Linked DNA regions of Anolis sagrei. The protein of the gene in region 2 purifies or fractionates together with the protein of the main gene of each other region. This does not show direct contact. Links are inferred from orthologs where the notes say so. Each region holds a gene or a part of one and is shown on either strand. Other genes may lie near its edges.

Region 1 (10,279 bases), about 180 Mb from region 2:
TACAAAGTATTGCTGATTTATTATGTTTGTTACACAAAAGAAGAAACAAGAACAAGCCGGGGGGGGGGGGGGGGAGGACACCTTTGCTTGGGTTGACTACCATTTGTGTAACATTTCTAAATGTCACTTTATTATCTACTGAAGTGTTCTACTGAACACATCCTCTTTCTTACACCAAGAGAGAGCAACTAGAGAAGACAATGTTTGCCTCTGTGTACCTCTGAAGGGCAACCCTTTTGCATCACTAAAAAACTAAAAGTGACGTTGTGACACTTCTAGTTTCTTTTCAGGAAGTCAACCTTTTATGGAGAGAGGCTAGTATTGTGGGAGGGTAAGGCAAGAAAACTGCAGTGTTTTCTAGTGGTTTGGAGTAGTGATCTGGAACAAGTTACCTAAAAATGGGCAAACCACAGACCACCTGCTGCAATGCAACCTGAGCCCTGCTACTTGCGCAATGGAGGACCTCCTTGCGGCAACACCAGAGGCACTCCAAGTGGCCAGATACTGGTCAAAGGACATTTAGTCAACTACCAAGTTTGCAAAATTTGTGGGTTTTTTTTAATCTGTTTGTTTTGTTCTGTTAGAAATGTAATACAATGGTATGGTTGCTGATTACACGTTAAATAAACCTAAAAATGGCAAGTCACAGAATCATAGAATAATAGGGTTAGAAGAAATTACATGGGATATCTAGTCCAACCCCCTGCCATGCAGGAAAAGCACAATCAAAGTACCTCTGAAATATAGTCATTCAGCCTTCCATAGGGAAGGAGATCCCACCACACTGTGATCTAGCAGCTTTGGCAGTAGGTATACAAAAATGAATATGGGAATTATTTAAAATAGTATTGTCGAAGGCCTCCATGGCTGGAATCATTGGGTTGTTGTAGGTTTTTCGGGCTATATTGCCATGTTCTATAAGCATTCTCCTGACATTTCGACTGCATCTATGGGGGTGCCTGCCATAGATGCAGGTGAAATGTCAGGAGAGAATGCTTCTAGAATATGGCTATTTAAAATAGGTTAGCTGAATTTCTGATTTACGCTACATCAAGTTGGTCCACCAGAATACACTAATGACAAAAATTTAGTTGCTTTGAATTATATGGATTTTAGCCAATATAAATTTAGCTAAGTGCGTAACCTAGCAAACATGGGAAAGTAAACACTATAAGACCGAAACTCCCATAAAGATCATCTAGTTTATGCTACTTACATGGGGCCCAGTTGAGTAAGATCTTGAATTGCCTTTTCCAGATTCATTAGATTTAAACGCTTCAAGCATTGTTCTACCTGGAAGGGGGGTAAGAGTACATTAAGAGATTAGCTGAGAAATAAAACTTTTAATCTAGACACATTTCAGTATATTTCTAAGTCCATAATTAGTATGTATGAGATTATGCAAGAGTGACATCTTTCTATTCTACATCAAGGCAATAACTGTAAGTCAAATGAACAATCAGTCAGTTAAGTGCCCGTCACTGTGAAAAATCAGAGCCTAACTAGCAGTGCTTATGTATAGGTAGAATGCACTGCCGCTCCCTTTAAAAACACTTCCTATTCAACAAGCTATGTGTTCATTCATTTCTATAGCATTGTGAAAGTAAGTGAATTCACACACATTGAAATGAGGTTTGCATAATACGCACTCATTCATATGTGTGTGTGTATAGATAGATAGAACAACAGCATTATGTTAATGAAATATTTCAGACACTGACTAAGAAACATATCCAACTGAGGCTCTCTTTTTAAAAAACACAGACATTAATCTATCAGATTCACACTTTTTTCCCAATGAGACAATGAACAATATAATTTCTCCAATAAATGAAAGCAAGCTCAAGTTCTTAAATTTAGGAGAATAAAAATAGTTTCTATCCTAGGATGAATACCTATAAACAGACATTCTTTCTCAAGATAAAGTTTCAAATAGAATCAGAGTTGGAAGAGATCACATGGGCCATCTAGTCCAACTCCCTGCCATGCAGGAAAAGCACAATCAAAGCACCCCAACAGATGGCCATCCAGCCTCTGTTTAAAAGCCCTTAACAAATGCAGAGAGTTCCACTGTTGAAAAACTTTTATGATCAGGTAGTTCTTCCTATTGTTCAGGAAATAGAGAAGACAATGTCCAAATATGTTTCCAGGCAACTGTCTCATTCTGACCTGTTTGAGAGACTGATACGGCTTATGACGACTCATCTTGTAGCGGAAACGATAGATGACAGTACGGAGGAGGCACTGTTCTGCAACCATGGCTTTATCTCTTAGCATGTTGTTAAGAGCATGGCCCTCTTTCCTAACAACAGCAAAGCATCCCACTGGAAAAGATAAAAAGACAATTACCTAAATTTGCAAGAATCTCTTCCACATAGCAACACAAGAAAAGTGCATTGAAGTCTTTTATCAGATGTCTAAATAAATACAGTTTACGGTATGGTATAGTATGGGGTGCAGTATTATTAAGGTCTATTTTTCATGGAAACTCGCATACAACCAGATACAACATTTGTCCAGCATCTACCAAGCCCCAGGCTGGAGCTACACTGCCATATAATCCAGTTTCTGAATGCAGATTATCTGCTTTGAACTGGATTATATGGCAATGTAGACTCATATAATCCAATACAAAACAGATACTCTGGATTTTATGGCAGTGCAGATGAGGCCTGAGTCTACTGTATACGCAAGTGTTCCAAAATGTCAAACAAAGGCGGCTAAATATCTTTTGACCAAAAACGGGAAACAACAACTGCACTGTCTGTAGCCTCCAACAACTCCTTCTCTGTACATGAGGCAGGGCACAGTGGACAAGCAAACAGATGCGGAGTTGTCTGTTCTGCTCCACTATCACACAAGATGGGGGATTCTTTTAGGTAGTGCCATTTTGCGAGGTTGTCTTTTGATCTGCCCACTCCGCTTCTGAGTCTATTCAGGGACTTCCAGGTTGCCCATTCTTGGTTTGCCTCTGAAGGAAGACCCTCATGGGGGGCCATCCAGTTGGGATTTCTTGGTTTAGCTGCCCAGAGGGATACCCTTGCTATAGCTGGGGGGACATCAAGAGGAGTGGTAGTTCTCATAAAGCTTTTCCTTGATTTGTGTCTGCTGGGAGGAGGCTGGTAGCCTGGTAGTGGATGGCTTTCACAGTGTTCAACCTTATTCCTCTCACATTTCACACATGGGGGAGGGGGGCAATGCCAGCTAGCTTGTAGAGTTTATCAACAGGTGTAGGTTTAAGGCATCCTGTGATTATTCTGCATGTTTCATTCAAAGCTATGTTCACCTGTTTTGCATGGGCAGACTTATGCCAAATAGGACAGGCATATTCAGCAGCTGAGTAAAACAACAACAACAACTTTATCTTTCTACCCACCTCCATCTCCCCGAAGGGACTCGGGGTGGCTTACATGGGGCCATGCCCAGACAAGGCCAGGGCTCTTCTTATTAATTTTGGGTATACGCCCCATGTTCTGCCAGTAAGTTTTTAAAGGATGTTATTGCGTGCAGCTACTTTGTGCTTGGTGTTCAAGCAGTCTTCGATAGCCAATGAAAATCCTGAATCGCCCAGGTTCTGCCAAGGTGCAGTTACAGCAGGCCTGGGCCAACTTGGGCCCTCCCTTTTGGTGTTTTGGACTTCAATTCCCACAATTCCTAACAGCCTCAGGCCCTTTCCTTTCTCCCCTCGGCTGCTTAGGAATTGTGGGAATTGAAGTCCAAAAAACCGGGAGGGTCCAAGTTGATCCAGGCATTATCTACATAGTCTCTCTATATATATAAAAACGCTCTGTGCATAATGAGTACCTTAAAAACAAAAGAACCTATGAACGAAATCACACCAAATTTGGCAACAAAATGTCTCACAACACAAGGCGTGACCATCACTCAAAAATTTATGATTTTTGTCATTTGGGAGTTGTAGTTGCTGGGATTTATAGTTCACCTACAATCAAACAGCATTCTAAACTCCAACAACGATGGAATTGAACCAAACTTGGCACACAAAACTCCCATGAGCAACAGAAAATATTGGAAGGGTTTGGTGGGCACTGACCTTAAGTTTGGGAGTTATAGTTCACCTACATCCAGGGAGCACTGTGGACTCAAACAATGATGGATCTGGACCAAACTTGGCACAAGCACTCAATATGCCCAAATATGAACACAGATGGAGTTTGGGGGAAATAGACCTTGACATTTGGAAGTTGTAGTCACTGGGATTCACAGTTCACCTACAATCAAAGAGCATTCTGAACCCCACGAACGACAGAATTGGGGCAGACTTCCCACACAGAACCCCCATGACCAACAGAAAATACTTAAGGCCATCCAGTCTTACTCCCTTCACCAGGACAAGAAAATATAATCAAAGTCCTCCTGACAAAGACCCATTGAGCCATAGATATAGATAGATAGATAGATAGATAGATGATAGATATGATTCACATACACAGAGATATAGTATCCTAGATTTGAAAGGGACCCTTAAAGAAGGACAATGATATGTTGCATGTTCCAGAGTAGGCAAACCAGATAATCTCTGCATCAACACGGACAAAGAAACAGCAAGAAATACTGTTTACCCACAAGCAAAAAGAAATTACATATATTAGAAACCAAAACTTCCTCATTACTCTATTTTCCAGATCAACAGACTGGGCCACAGCAACGCGTGGCAGGGGACAGCTAGTTACTTATATGGCGCCACTGCCTTGATTAATACCACAGTCCAGATGCACCTCGGATCCACGTGGCCTGGCAGACAGTCAGGGGCACCTAGGCCCCCTCGGCTGACCCTCCTTCCTTCGCCTCCCTTTACCCGAAGCATGGTGATCCGGTACAGCAAGGGGAGCGCTGCAGCCCGGCCATGGGACGCGCAGCCGGTTCCACATCTCTTCCTCTCCTCTGGGCGCCGCCATCTTTCCTGGATTAAACCACATCTCAGGAGGGAGGGAGATAAACGTAGACTCAACCAAGTTTTTTGTCCCGCAGGGGGAGCCATAGTTCAGGGCTCATTTCCTCTGCCTCGCTCTCAGCCGCCGGCAGGAGGCGCTGTGGCATACTTTCCTCTAAGAACTTGGAAAAGCTCGCTCCAGCACTCTCCATCCAACTTCTTTTCTTTGTCTAATAAATAATAATAATAATAATAATAATAATAATAATAATAAGGTATTGTTGATGTCACAATCCCAGGTGGCAGCAGGATTGCAGAGAAACAACTGGAAAAGCTGACATGATACGAGGATTTAAAGATGGAACTGCAAAGACTGTGGCACAAGCCAGTCAAGGTGGTCCCAGTGGTGATTGGCACACTGGGTGCAGTGCCTAAAGACCTTGGCCTGCACTTAAACACAATTGGCGCTGACAAAATTACCATCTGCCACCTTACTGGGATCTGCACATATTATTCGCCGATACATCACACAGTCCTAGACACTTGGGAAGTGTCCCACATAGAATCAAAGAGTTGGAAGAGACCTCATGGGCCATCCAGTCCAACCCCCTGCCAAGAAGCAGGAATATTGCATTCAAATCAATATTCGTAGATGGAGATGCGTGACCGCATCTCCATCTACGAACCCACGCGTTCACTTCTGTCATCTGGAGAGGCCCTGCTCGTGATCTCACCTGCATCGCAAGCACGTTTGGTGGGGACACGAGACAGGGCCTTTTCCGTGGTGGCCCCCCGACTCTGGAACACCCTCCCCAAAGATCTTAGACAGGCCCCTACATTGGCAGTCTTCAGAAAGAACTTGAAGACCTGGCTGTTCCGATGTGCCTTCCCAAATTAGGAAATCTCCAATACCAAGTCCCATAAGCACTTTACTAGAACTAAGATTGCTGCATACCGCACACTGCACTTGCCCTATAATGCCTTATACACCACCTGTAACATCAGCACTTTTAATCCTGTACCCATTACTCTGGCCCAGCCCAGTTTTATTGTGTCTTAGTGTATTGTTTATTGTTTGTGGTTTATATTGCTTTAATTGTTTTTAATTTGCCTTAGGTTTTGTATTGTTATATTGTGTGTTGAGGCCTTGGCCTTTGTAAGCCGCATCGAGTCCTTCGGGAGATGCTAGCGGGGTACAAATAAAGTTTAATAATAATAATAATAATAATAATAATAATAAAATCACCCCCGACAGATGGCCATCCAGCCTCTGTTTAAAAGCTTCCAACGAAGGAGCCTCCACCACGCTCTGGGGCAGAGAGTTCCACTGCTGTACGGCTCTCACAGTCAGGAAGTTCTTCCTCATGTTCAGATGGAATCTCTCCACGTGTGATCCAATTCAACAGCCAGCAGAGTTTCTGCTGTGGACTCATCTTGTTATGTTTCAAATAATAATAATAATAATAATAATAATAATAATAATAATAATAACTCAGTCTTTCGAATCCAGACTGACAAAGTTTTGGAACACAATACAACAAACATCACGATTGTGGAAAAGAAAAAAGTCTGGATTATTGATGTCGCCATACCGGGTGACAGTCACATTGAGGAAAAACAACAGGAAAAACTCAGCCGCTATCAAGACCTCAAAATTGAACTGCAAAGGCTCTGGCATAAACCAGTACAGGTGGTCCCAGTGGTCATTGGCACACTGGGTGCTGTGCCAAAAGATCTCAGCCGGCATTTGGAAACAATAAACATCGACAAAATCATGATCTGTGAACTGCAAAAGGACACCTTACTTGGATCTGCGTGCATCATTCGAAAATACATCACACAGTCCTAGACACTTGGGAAGTGTTCGACTTGTGATTTTGTGATATGAAATACAGCATATAAATCTCGTTTGCTGTGACATACTGTGCTTTTGTGTCAATAATAATAATAATAATAATAATAATGGGATTTAAAGATCGAACTGCAAAGACTCTGGCACAAGCCAGTCAAGGTGGTCCCAGTGGTGTTCGGCACACTGGTGAGGTGCCTAAAGACCTTGGCATGGACATAAACACAATCGGCACTGATAAAATTACCATCTGTCAGCTGCAAGAGGCCACCCTATCAGGATCTGCACACATTATTTGCCGATACATCACATAGCCCTAGACACTCGAGAAATGTCCGACATGTGATCCAATACAGCAATCAGCAGAGTGATCTTGTTTGCTGTGTACAAATCTTGTTGTGTTTCAAATAATAATAATAATAATAATAATAATAATAATAGGATTTAAAGATCGAACTGCAAAGACTCTGGTACAAGCCAGTAAAGGTGGTCCCAGTGGCATCCGGCACACTGGGTGCAGTGCCTAAAGACCTTGGCCTGCACTTAAACACAATCGGCGCTGACAAAATTACCATCTGTCAGCTGCAAAAGACCACTCTACTGGGATCTACATGCATTATTCACTGATACATCACACAGTCCTAGACACTTGGGAAGTTTATGATGTTTATGGCAGGCAGTGTCCCTCTATAAAAGTGTGGGTTGCCAAATTTTGTTACTCATGGTGTATTGTTTTACTGACACAAAAGCACAGTATGTCACAGCAAATGAGATCTATAGGCTGGATTTCATATCAAAAAATCAAAAGTCAAATACTTCCCAAGCGTCTAGGTCTGTGTGATGATGATGATGATGATGATGATGATTATTATTATTATTATTATTTGAAACACAACAAGATTAACACACAGCAAACAAGATCACTATGCTGGCTGTTGAATTGGATCACTTATTATTAAGTGTCCAACGTGTGATTCAATACAACAGCCAGCATAGTGATCTTGTTTGCTGTGTATTAATCTTGTTGTGTTTCAAATAATAATAATAGGCAATGCTGCATTTGGTGGTTTCTATGTATGCAGGGAAAACATTCCCTAACATTAAAGGTTATTAAGCACATTTTATGTTGCTGGTTTCCAATGAGGTTTGCCAGGCAAAACATGCTGACAGCTGTATTTAAAGATATTGTGTAGAAACCTTTTATGAATGAATGTTTTATTGTAAACTTTGTGAAAATCAATAAAAACATTTTTTAAAAGATATTGTGTAGAAATATAGAATTAATGTAATTAAAGGAGCCAAACTCATAACAGGATTGAAGATGCAATCATCAGATAAGAACAGTTGTGCTCAAATACTCTAAAGTTCATAGCCTAGAATGAACTTTTCCTAAAGATTTCATGTTGGTGACACACGTTTTAGACATGCGTCATTTAATGACACAGTAATTCAGTTTCACTAGCAAACTGGGGGTTAAACCAACCCCTTATAAGGGATATGGACACACACATAAATTGTAATAACAAGCTGTATGGGGACACAACATATCTCATGAAAAAATTCCATTTACATTTTTTTACCAATACATGATTTGTAAGATTTTTGTCATTTTTCTTTACATTGGTGCTATGCAAAGTTTGGAAAGTTGTGGTCTAGGAGCAGACTGCATTGAAGTAGTTGAGAATGAGGTGTTTTCAGAATACGGGGGGGGGGGGGGGCTTCTTCCCAGTAAATATGAAGTAGCAATAAATTCAATGTAGTTTTTACATAAGCTTTTGTTGTCCAAATCACATATCCATAGACTCTGGTCCTGAAAATACCCAACACTATCAGAGTCTCCCCCCCCCCCCCAAACAAACCACAACGTTTACTCGGAAGTACCTCTGAAGATGCCAGCCACAGATGCAGTGAAATGTCAGTAGAAAATGCTACACGTCCATACAACATTCCAGTGATTCCGTCCATGAAAGCCTTCGACAATACTTGTTTTTAATTAATTAGCTTTTCTGAATTTGGTTCAGAGGTAACTCAATGTAAATAAAGCGCACTGCAGAAGTCCAGCCTTGAGGTTACTAGTGCATGAACTACCTATCTTTAGGTCCTCGAATTTTAGGAAGGGCCACAGCTGGCATATCAGCTGAAACTGGTAGTAAGCACTTCTGATCTTTGCATCTATCTGGGCTGTCATATGAAGAGACGGATCCAGGAGGGCTTCCAACCTGCAAACACAGTGTTTCAGGGGGAGTGTCGCCCCATCCAGAATTGGTTGACACAGCTCCATCCCTTGACAGCAAATACCTCTGTCTTATGTGGATCAATTTCAATTTGTTTTTCTTCATGCACCCCTTTATGTCCTCCAGCCATTAATTCAGAGGAGAATAAAGTTTTCCCCATTGATTTTTCTTGCCTTGTTAAGGATTGCTGTAGTTTGGTCTTTGTATCTGAAGACTATGCTAGTGGGAAAGTGAGTCAATTAAAATGAATAAATGTTTTATTACTTCTGTAGATATATGGATGCCTGTTCAAATAAATACATAATGAAAATGTTGAAATTACATTTGATTTGTTGTTGAAGGCTTTCATGGCCGGAATCACCGGGTTGCTATGAGTTCTCTTGGCTGTATGGCCATGTTCCAGAAGTATTCTCTCCTGATGTTTCGCCCACATCTATGGCAGGCATCCTCAAAGGTTGAGGGGTCTGTTGGAAACTAGGAAAGTGAAGTTTATATATCCAAGGTGGGAGAAAGAGCTCTTGTCTGCTTGAGGCAAGTGGAAATGTTGCAGTTGGCCACCTTGATGAGCACTGAATGGCCTTGCAGGTTCAAAGCCTGGTTGGTGCTGCCTGGGGGAAACCTTTGTTGAGAGGTGTTAGCTGGCCCTGACTGACTCTTGTATGGAATTTCCCTGCTTTTTGAGTGTTGCTCTTTATTTACTGTGCTGATTTTAGAGGGTTTATAAAATTAGACTTGATTGCTGCAAACTCACTTTGATGAGACTGGGCAAGTCGTTAGTTGCCCTTTAATAAAGCCAGTTCCATTTATTTTCCAAAAACCAACCACACCTGCTGGAGACCTTTTATGAACAAATAAAGGAGATCCCAGGAAGGCCTTTTACTGTTGTTTAGTTGTAAAATACTTAAAAGTAATACAACATAGCAATGGAAGGGGGGAAGAATTCTGGCAACGCAGTCATGTGTACAAAGGATCTCACAAAGGTCTCACTGGCTGAATTTCTGAGATATTATGAGCAGCCCATAAATGAGGAACAGGCTTGGGCTATTTGTTTCCAGTCTTGTTATAAGATGAAACAGATTTTAGCTCAAGGACTGGATTCTGTCTTGCACATGATAATTTTAGATATTGACAACCTCTACATCCATTCTGATGGTAGTGTGTCCTTCAGTCTACAGCACGACATTGGTAAGGAAAAATCAGGAAGTTTCCAATATGTGTGTTCATGTTTTTCTTAATTCTATGTTGGTTTTCATATTCTACGTCTTTCCTAATCGCTGTAGTTTTTTGTATAGTGTTTCTTAA
Region 2 (10,406 bases):
TGTGGGCCTGCTTTTGGCTGATGAGATAAGGTTGTTGTTGTTGTGTGCTTTCAAGTCATTTCAGACTTAGGTTGACCCTGACCAAGGGCCAGGTAAATGACCTTGGAGGGCCATATCCGGCCCTCGGGCCTTAGTTTGAGGACCCCTGGTTTAAAGGTTATTAACATGTCCTGTTGTATTACTCGTGCAAGTGTAGACTTGGGTTGAGAGATTTTGAAGAGAACTGCAATTTGCCTGTTCTTCAGATGTGTACATCCTGCCTAATTGTGGAATGGTAGCAATACTCAAAACCAATGCTGCTCAAAAGAGTGGCTTGTGAACCATTGCTAGTTTATGCACGTTTCCAGGAAAGAAGTGGCTGGAGTCAGTAGCCATAAATACATACTGCTTCCTGGCAGATAAAAAAAAGAGATGGTTCCTCACACCAGCTTGAGAAATTGTTGAAAGCCTAAGTTACTAAAAGGGTTTACATAGGTGGTGCAGTGGGTTAAACCACTGAGCTGTTGAACTTGCTGACCGAAAGGTGGGTGGGAGTGGGGTGAGCTCCTCCTGCTAGCCTCAGCTTTTGCCAACCTTGCAGTTCAAAAACAGGCAAATGTGAGTAAATCAATAGGTACTGCCTTGGTGGGAAGGTAGCGGCCCTCCATTCAGTCATGCTGGCCACATTACCTTGGAGGCGTCTATGGACAATGCCGGCTCTTTGGATTAGAAATGGGGATGAGCACTACCCCCCCCCCCCCCCGAGTCTGACATGACTAGACTTAATGTCAGGGGAAACCTTTACCTTTACATAGTTACTTTGGCTACAAAGCATATGTGCACCCATGGGTCTTACATCACCTCTCAAAGTCATATTTGAAAGTATAATTTTTTTAAAAGCCAAAAATAAGTTTTAGGCAAGTGGTTCTGGAATAGTCTGCTGAAAAAGTTTCACATTTCTTTCTTGCATTTGGGGAATAATTCATGATATTATCTCTTACTGAGCAGCAAGGGAACTGTAGTTTATTGTGGCATGTATTCAAAAATTAAAAAACAGGCTTCTTGAAAATCTGGTTTAGTTTGCGGTCAAAAGAATATGTACTATTATATGAAAGGGATAGCCTGTCAGAAAGCAGTGCAGGGATATTAGTGGGAAGCAGTCAAATATCCTTGAGTGAAATGATATGGAAATGTAATACGACTGTTCTGCTGTATCTTCCCCCATCACTTTCAAAGTAGAATGATGATGTTTGGAAAAGAGGTGATTTACTAGATATAACTATTCCAGATGTCAGTGGGAGAAATCTCTTGAATAAAAAAGGGACAAGCCAGGCTAGACTGAAAGAGAGAGGTGGAGCTACCTGAGATTAAAAGTTTACTCCCGTTTTTAATACATTCAGACCATTTCCCCTGTTTGCTTTTAGTTAATCTACATATTACCACCCATGTGGTGGATATAATATAGTGGATCATATTTCACTTGGAGAATGATGACACCACTGTTTGAGATATTACCTAATGCCCATATTTGATGCAGAAGTTGTTATCTTTGCAGCCTGATGGAATATGGGTTCAAGATGGAATAGAACAAGCATGCTATGCAGATTATCTGGAGGTGGAAAACCCCAATGCTTTGGTCTTCAAAACTCTTTGAGACGTTTTATCTGACAGAACAGGAAGGAAACTGCCTCGCTGAAAAGAGGTAGGATGTCTGCTGTCTGGGGTAGCTTTGGGATTGCTCCATCCCCAGCACTTTGTGAGTTCCATCGTTTAACATCTGACAGCAGAAAGCAGCTACCAGGAAAACTCATCAGTTTCCCACTGGGATAATAACCCATTCGTTTTTACTGCACAGAAATAAAATACTACAAATTTGACATGCAGAAAGCCACCCCCTGCCTTTGCCCACAGCTGGGAAATCGACCAGGTCTCACCAAAAGCAACCTTTCTGTGGGAGGCCACCTGATATTTTGGTGAGCTGTGTTAAGCTGTGCCACTGGGCTTGATGAGTTGTTAAAACTTTCATATGGATTACTATAAGAAGCCTCATCTCTACAGGAAAATAAGGTTTGTGGTGCCTGGTGTCGATAGCCTTCCAAGGAAGCAAGAGGAAAGGATCCAGAATGCCTTGTAGGCTATGACAGGTGAGGAGAAATCTTTTACCTTATGTTCATAATTTTTAGAAGTAGTCTTGATGGCCTAAACAGATGGTTGCAATCAGAGATGGGGTTGTTCATAACAGACAGTAAGCCAAGAAATTAATGGAGTATCCATTTGCAACCGCTGTGTTGATCCACACAGCTCCTAAAGTTTGATCAAGTCTTGTCATCTGAACACACAACCAGAATTTATACTATTTTGGATGAATTACATTATCTTCCATTGCAAGCTGTTGAGATTAATGTACACTATATATCTTAAAACTGAATGAAAACTATCATGTAACCAGGAGAGCAGGCTTGCACACTCTGGGCTTCTGGTTTTGAGGCTCCAACTTCCTGAAGCCCTAGCCATCTTGTCCAATGATCAGGAATTCTAGGAGCTGAAGTTCAAAACACCTGGAGGGCCACAGGCTGTGTAGGCCTGTGGGTTTTTTTCGTTTTTGTCATGTCAGGAGCGACTTGAGAAATTGCAAATTGCTTCTGGTGTGAGAGAATTGGCTGTCTGTGAGGAGGTTGCCGAGGGGACGCCCGGATGTTTTGATATTTTTTCATCCTTGTGGGAGGCTTCTCTCATGTCCCTGCATGAGGAGCTGGAGCTGGTAGAGGGAGCTCATCCACCTCTCCCCGGATTCGAACCTGCAACCTGTCAGTCTTCAGTCTTGCTGGCACAGGGGTTTAACCCACTGCGCCACCGGGGGCTCCCTGTGGTAAAGGCTATTTAGAGAGGTGGGCCATAGATGGGCCTCAGTCTCTAGCCATCAGCTGTTGGGTATTTTTTAAGAAAAGAAAGGAAAAATGGGGGTAAGGGAAATGCAGGTACACAGATACTGTAGTTAAGAAAGCCCTGCCTTATCTGACAATATGATGTCTTAAGCAACCTGCTTTGCAGATAAGAAAATGGATGTCCCCCCTGATTTTGGACTGTGGACCCCATTACCTACTGCAGCCTAACATATTAAAGAGGAGAGCACCTATTCCTTATTCATTCCATTTTGTGTAAAAGGGGGAGGAGCTATTCCTAATATCACAGGGTACTGGTGCCTCACCAAACTGCAACTCCCACAATTCCATAGCACTAAGTCAGAGCACTCAAAATAGTTTCAAACTGCATTAGTTTCAAACTGAACCCAGAGAGATGCCACAGGCCTCCTTTGTGGCGGAATGGAAATCACGTGTGGTTCACATTTACCAATCTACACAGTCTTGCTAGAGAAAAGATATTGCACACGGATGATCAGTAAAGAATGTGTTTACTTTTATGCAGACCAACATATATACAGTCATGTGAACAGTTGTATTGACTCACAATGTCCAATAAGATTCAAATGGTTTCCCCGCATGGTCAGCCTGTGAATCACACATTTCAGAAGCAAAAATTCAAAACTTGGCAAGCTCCTGCACAGAAAAACTTAAACATGTAACTTGCCAAAACTCCCAGGCTCAGCTAGCCTCTTGGGGCATGGCTCAACCAATGAGCTTCCTACTTCGCATTTTTCTGTTAACATACCCACCAAATGAGCCCCCGGTGGCACAGTGGGTTAAACCCCTGTGCTAGCAGGACAGAAGACCAACAGGTTGCAGGTTCGAATCCGGGGAGAGGCGGATGAACTCCCTCTATCAGCTCCAGCTCCCCATGCGGGGACATGAGAGAAGCTTCCCACAAGGATGATAAAAAACATCAAATCATCCAGGCATCCCCTGGACAACATCCTTGCAGACGGCCAATTCTGTCACACCAGAAGCAACTTGCAGTTTCTCAAATTGCTCCTGACACAACAAAAAAACCACCAAATGATTTTGCATGCTCCAGCATCCTTGTCTAAGGGAAGCTAATACCACCCACTTAACAAATCCTATACCTTGTTCTCCCTTGCCCAGCCCCCGCTCTGCCCAAACTTACTTATCTTGGAGCCCTTCTAGGGCAATCAGCTTGTTTTGCTACTTTGGCTGGGAAAATAAAAGCAAAGGACTCCTAGGACTTGTAGTTTCACAAGCTTTCACCTTCTCTGCTAAAGAGTGCGGGTGCCTCACCAAACTACAACTCTCAGCATCCCACAGCAGTTAAAATGGTGTCAAGCTGCATTAATTTCACCCTTTCTATGCATCCCTAGACCCTTTGCCCAATGCATGTTTCTTTTCAGATTCTCTTACGCAACTTGGAAAATAGGTTGTTGTAGGTTTGTTTGGCTATATGGCCATGTTCTAGAACAGTGTTTCTCAACCTGGGGGTCGGGACCCCTGGAGGGGTCGCAAGGGGGTGTCAAGAGGGGTACCCAAGGACCATTGAAAAACAGTATTTTCTGTTGGCCATGGGGGTCTTGTGTGGGAAGTTTGGCCCAATTGTATCATTAGTGGGATTCAGAGTGCTCTTTGATTGTACGTGAACTAGAAATCTCAGGATTACGACTCCCAAATCTCAAGGTCTGTTTTCCCCAAACTTCACCAGTGTTCATATTTGGGCATATTGAGTATTCATGCCAAGTTTGGTCCAGAGCCATTATTGTTTGAGTCCACAGTCCTCTCTGGATGTCGGTGAACTACAACTCCAGAACTCAAGGTCAATGCCCACCAAACCCTTCCACTATTTTCTGTGGGTCATGGGAGTTCAGTGTGCCATGTTTGGTTCAATTCCATCATTGGAGTTTTTTGATTGTAGGTGAACTATAAATCCCAGCAACTACAACTCCCAAATGACAAAATCAACACCCCCCCCCCCCAGCCCACAAGTATTCAAATTTGGGCGTATTGGGTATTTGTGCCAAATTTGGTCCAGTGAATAAAAATGCATCCTGCATATCAGATTTTTACATTCCGATTCCTAACAGTAGCAAAATTACCGTTATGAAGCAGCCACGAAAATAATTGCATGGTTGGGGATCACCACAACATGAGGAACTGTATTATGGGGTTATGGCATTAAGAAGGTTGAGAAACACTGTTATAGAAGCATTCTCTCCTGATGTTTTGCCTGCATCTATGGCAAGCATCCTCAGAGGTTGCGAGGTCTGTTGGAAACTAGGAAAATAGGGTTTATATATCTGTCCAAGATGGGAGAAAGAACTCTTGCCTGTTGGAGCTAGGTGGGAATGTTTCAATTGGCCACCTTGATTAGCATTTGATGGCCTGCCATAGGGGCAGGCGAAACGTCAGGAGAGAATGCTTCCAGAACATGGCCATATAGCCCGAAAAACCTTCAACAACCCAGTGATTCCGGTTATGTATTGCCTTCGACAATACATTCAAGTTGGAAAAGCTTGGGGAGGGTTTGAGGATCCTCTCCCAACCCTCCCCAGCGTTTCCTATTGGGGAAGCGGTGCCTCCTCCTTCCTCCAAGCCAGGACCTCCCAAGAGTGGGCGTTTAGGGCGGGCGTAAACCCGACCGGGAGGCGGCTTAAGCCCTTTCCGGGCCCCTCCTCGCTCTTTCGGCGCCGGCATGGCCTCCTTCTTGGACCTGGAGAGCTCGGAGGACGGCGAGAAGGCGTCCGGTTGTGTCAGCCACTTCGTCTTCGGTAGGCGAGGCGTGTTGGGGTGGCACTGGCTGGGAAAGGGGGCAAGCGTTTGGGGATGGGGCAAAATGGGCTTAGGGACTGGGAAGGGCGCCTTGGAGAGGGCTGGGAGGACTGGGTTGGGGTGGGAGGACAGGCACGGGGTTGGAGTTGGGAAGGTCCTATCCAAGGCTTCGAGGAAATAGGCGAGAAAGCCACGCCACGTGGGACTCCCCTTCGAAATTCTCAACTTCCTGCTTGGGCCACCAAACCTGCTTCCCACGTGGTTGAGCTCCATCTGCTCTTTCCACGTGGCTTGGCTCTTTAATCTAGGCTGGGGCTATGAAGCCAGACCCGTTTCCACGCTTTCCTCCAGGAGAAAACTTCCACTTCCTGGCCACACTTCCATCATTAGACTGGAATGCAGCGTTCTCTCGCTTCCTTTTGGAGTCATTGCCAGGAAACGGGGAAATCCCTTTTTCTAACCCCCCCCCCTTTTAAAGTCAGTGTAAAACATTCAGAACACACCTGGCATCTCCCCTCCTCCAACAAAGACTGTTATAATGGACTTCTGTTCAGATAGTTGCATTTCAGCATCTTCTCAATCAGTGGTTCTCAACCTTCCTAATGCCGCGACCCCTTAATACAGCTCCTTATGTTGTGGTGACCCCTAACCAGAAAATTCTTTTCATTGCTACTTCAGAATAGCCATTTTGCTACAGTTATGAATTGTGATATAAATATCTGATATGCAGGATGTATTTTCATTCCCTGGACCAAAATTTGGCACAAATACCCAATATGCTCAAATTTGAATACTGGTGGGGTTAGGAGGGATTGATTTTGTCATTTGGGAGTTGTAGTTGCTGGGATTTATAGTTCACCCACAATCAAAGAGCATTCTGAACTCCACCGACGTTGGAATTGTACCAAACTTGGCACACAGAACTCCCATGACCAACAAAAAGTACTGGAAGGGTTTGACGGGCATTGACCTTGAGTTTTGGAGTTGTAGTTCACCTACATCAAGAGAGCACTCTGGACTCAAACAATGATGGATCTGGACCAAACTTGGCACAAATACTCAATATGCCCAAATGTGCACACTGGTGGAATTTGAGGAAAATAGACCTTCACATTTGGGAGTTGTAGTTGCTGGGATTTATAGTTCATTTACAATCAAGGGCATTCTGAACTCCACCAATGACAGAATTGGGCCAAACTTCCCAGACAGAACCCCCATGACCAACATAAAATACATTTTTTTCTAATGATTGTTTGGCGACCCCTCTGACACCTCCTCGTGACCCCCAGGTTGAGAAACACTGTTCTAAATCAATGTTTCTCCTCCTCCTTAGTGGCGCGTTTTGTGTTCTTTCCTAAAAAAAATTCCTAACCTTATGTTTCCCCAAATCTGGAATCCCTTTCTTGGTCTATGCAAACACAACTTGGAATTACACTAGCACAAGTCCTTTGGGGACATTGTGTACAAACATACCCATAGCCCTTTGACTGCCTCTCTAGCAGCAGCCCTGTGGTACCAAGCAAATGTTGCCAAGCAGAGGCTTTGGGGAGAGTAGAACTGCAGCACAGTGCCTTCCAGTTGCCTTTGCTTCCCCTTCCAGACATCCTCCTAACACAGTGGTTTTCAACCTTCCTAGTGTCACAACCCCTTAATACAGTTCCTCATGTTGTGGTGACCCCCAACCATAAAATTATTTCCGTTGCTACTTCACAACTGTAATTTTACTACTGTTCTGAATCATCATATAAATATCGGAAGTGCAGGATGCATTTTAATTTATTGGACCAACTTTGGCACAAATAACAGATACGCCCAAATTTGAATGCTGGTGGGGTGAGGGGGGTGCATTGGTTTCATCACTTGGGAGTTGTAGTTGCTGGGATTTATAGTTCACTTACAATCAAAGATCATTCTGAGCTCCACCAATGATGGAATTGAGCCAAACTTCCCACACAGAGCTCCCATGACCAACAGAATTTTCTGGAAGGGTGTGGTGGGCATTGACCTTGAATTTTAGAGCTGTAATTCACCTACATCCAGAGAGCTCTATGGACTCAAACAATGATGGATCCAGGCCAAACTTGGCACAAATACCCAACATGCCCAAGTGTGAACACTGGTGGTGTTTGGGGAAAACAGACCTTGACATTTGGGAGTTGTAGATGCTGGGATTTATAGTTCACCTACACTCAAAGAGCAGTCTGAACCCCACCAAAGACTGAATTGGGCCAAACTTCCCACACAGAACTCCAATGCCTTGAAGGGACTCGCTGGCATGAGCCTCCCTCCAGTCTCGCGCTCTCTCTCACCCAATTCCCAATTCGCCAAGCACACCTGCCCAAGGAGGGGAGAGGAGAGACTCCCTGCTTGGAGTCTCAGAAACAGCCCTCCCCTTGGCTGAGAGGCCGCCCAATCGCAGCGGAGGAGGGCTTTTGGTGGGAGGATTCGCTGTCTGTTTCCCAAAAGGAAGAGAAGGACAAGCAGAGAGATCTTCAGCCATTTCTGCCAAATGGGTTTCTAAGACCATCAGAAATATGTTTTCTGGTGATCTGTGGCGACCCCTCTGAAACCCCCTTGTGACTTCCCCAGGGGTCCCGACCCCAGGTTGAAAGATGCAGACAATTTAAAAATTCACAGTAGATTCTCAAAATTATTGTACACCAGGCAACCATCACTCAAATACAAAATGGTCTATTTAACACAGGCATGGGCAAGCTGTGGGCCTTCTCCCTTCAACTTTCCTTATACACATTATGGATAAGACTCTAGATCAGGCATGGGCAAACTTGGGCCCTCCAGGTGTTTTGGACTTCAACTCCCACAGTTCCTAACAGCATCAGAAATGCTGTAGTTTTGCTTTTGAAGCTTGCCTAGCAAGTGCGACATACATTTGAGGCTGTTTGTTTTTTTGATCCTTAGGATGCGAGTTGAACAGCGCTACCCGATCCTTCACTTTTCAAGTGAATGAAGAGGATGACTCTGACCATTCCCTCGTTCTGAGTACGGTAAGAGAGGTCCCGACTTGAGGTGTGGATACTAGCACATCACACCAACCTTGTTATAACACTTTATTGTGATAGCCACAAGTCAACCAAAACTTCTAATGGAGAAGGAATGGCTAATTTCAGCTGTTTATCATCCAGTCTTGTTTCTGTGTTAGCTGCAGAGAAGGGAGATGCCTTTTTCTGACTACCATGGAAAACAGAGAGCTAACCAAGTTGACTGAACACTCTGTCCTTTGCCTGCCTACTTTTAACCAGTCCACCAAGAGGTTAGAAGACTCAGAGTCCCCCCACCTTTTCCACAAGTACTGGTCTCATAGCAAACTAGTAAAAATGTACGAGGGTTGAATGAAAAGTAATGCCTCCACCTTCGTAACTCCTCAACAGATGTCAGTACTGGTATGCAGCAGGTACTGGTTTGTCCTCTACAGTTCCATTTTGGCGGGAAGCCTTAGCATTGAACGGTTGTGTTGTTAAAGTGCATGGAACCCTGCACAGACGGTCGGTCAATGCGACTTAAGCAGCGTGCAGCCATTGAATTCTGGACAGCAGAGGGAGTCTAACCTTCAGAAAATACTGTGGTTCTGTTTTTGCTTTTAGGTAACTGAGGCTGACTATGGGTCAGGGTTGTACGTCCTTGCTTTTGTAGACAAGGGGTATGATCACTGAGTTATTTCCCAAGGCTAACATTAAGATTAGGAGGTAGCAGATCCAAGTGTAGGGGTTTTGTGTGAGTGTCTGGCATTGTGAGAATAAAAAATGGGCTTAGAGAAGGCCTGGGCAAACTTCACCCCTCCAGCTGTTTTGGACCTTAACTCCAAGAAATCCCAGCCAGCTTGCCAGCAGTTAGGAATTGTGGGAGTTGATGTCCAGAACCCTTGTTGGGGCGACGTTTGCCCATACCTGGCTTAGAGGCTTTTTGTCTGACCTAGCATTAAATGAACAAACATTCTCCTCTCTTCATAATCCCCACATTTGCTCCAGAGCATCCCCCAATCCTCCAAAGCACATTTTGAGTGAGAAATCCTGCTAGGAACCACCCTTTTACTTCTCCTTTTAATACCAATTTATAGGAGATCTTAGTATCCCACCCTAAGGCTGTCCATGTTATTGTTTGGCAAATGGAGGCTATTTCAACTTTTTTTCTTTGACTCCTATTTTTAAGGTTTGCCTGTCAGCAAGTGCCAAAGATGAATGCAACATTGTGGAGCTTGTGGGACGTGACTACCAGAACAAGGAGGTTACTGTCCCAGTGGCCAACCTGAAATCGTCGTGTCTTCCCATGGTAAAATGGTCTACTTTTTTTTATTATTTACTTTGCTTATATACCGCTGTTCTCAGCTTGGGGGCGACTCACAGCGGTGTACAACATAGAAAGAACAAGGTTCAAAATTCAAGACACAATATAAAATGATCCTCAATCCAGCATTAACAAAAACATCTACTTGGGTTGGGGGCTTAAGTGCTTTACATAAGAATGTATGTATGGTAGTTATTAGGCTTGTGCATGTGTATCGTATCACTATCCATTTCTGTTTGTTTCATTCGTATGGCCCTGTTTTCATTTTTGCGTGCCGAATGGGCGTTTTCGTTCCACATCCAAAATAATGCATTTTTTGTCCCATTGGCTCCCCTTCCCCTCAGTTTTAGGCCTAGAGGAGTGAAAATTGCCACATATCAACCACTTTTAGCCCACCAACTTTTTAAACGTTGTGGTCATCCCCCGATTTTTAGCAGTGATTTTTTTTTTCTT

What was found.
Region 1: the proteins of NPM3 (region 2) and NEPRO purify together in Homo sapiens (affinity purification with mass spectrometry; 4 studies listed by BioGRID and IntAct, with this or other methods). This does not show direct contact. The link is inferred for Anolis sagrei from reciprocal best matches to the Homo sapiens genes NPM3 and RMP64.

Annotation. Positions count from the first base shown.
Region 1 is NC_090023.1:40,823,504-40,833,782, reverse strand, and holds the start of NEPRO (nucleolus and neural progenitor protein), read right to left. Parts: upstream 4,941-10,279; coding exon 4,820-4,940; intron 4,810-4,819; exon of another isoform or gene 4,740-4,809; intron 2,325-4,739; coding exon 2,170-2,324; intron 1,294-2,169; coding exon 1,217-1,293; intron 1-1,216. UniProt on the Homo sapiens protein: May play a role in cortex development as part of the Notch signaling pathway. Downstream of Notch may repress the expression of proneural genes and inhibit neuronal differentiation thereby maintaining neural progenitors.
Region 2 is NC_090023.1:216,716,518-216,726,923, reverse strand, and holds the start of NPM3 (nucleoplasmin-3), read left to right. Parts: upstream 1-5,523; 5' UTR 5,524-5,574; coding exon 5,575-5,650; intron 5,651-8,570; coding exon 8,571-8,656; intron 8,657-9,818; coding exon 9,819-9,938; intron 9,939-10,406. UniProt on the Homo sapiens protein: Plays a role in the regulation of diverse cellular processes such as ribosome biogenesis, chromatin remodeling or protein chaperoning. Modulates the histone chaperone function and the RNA-binding activity of nucleolar phosphoprotein B23/NPM.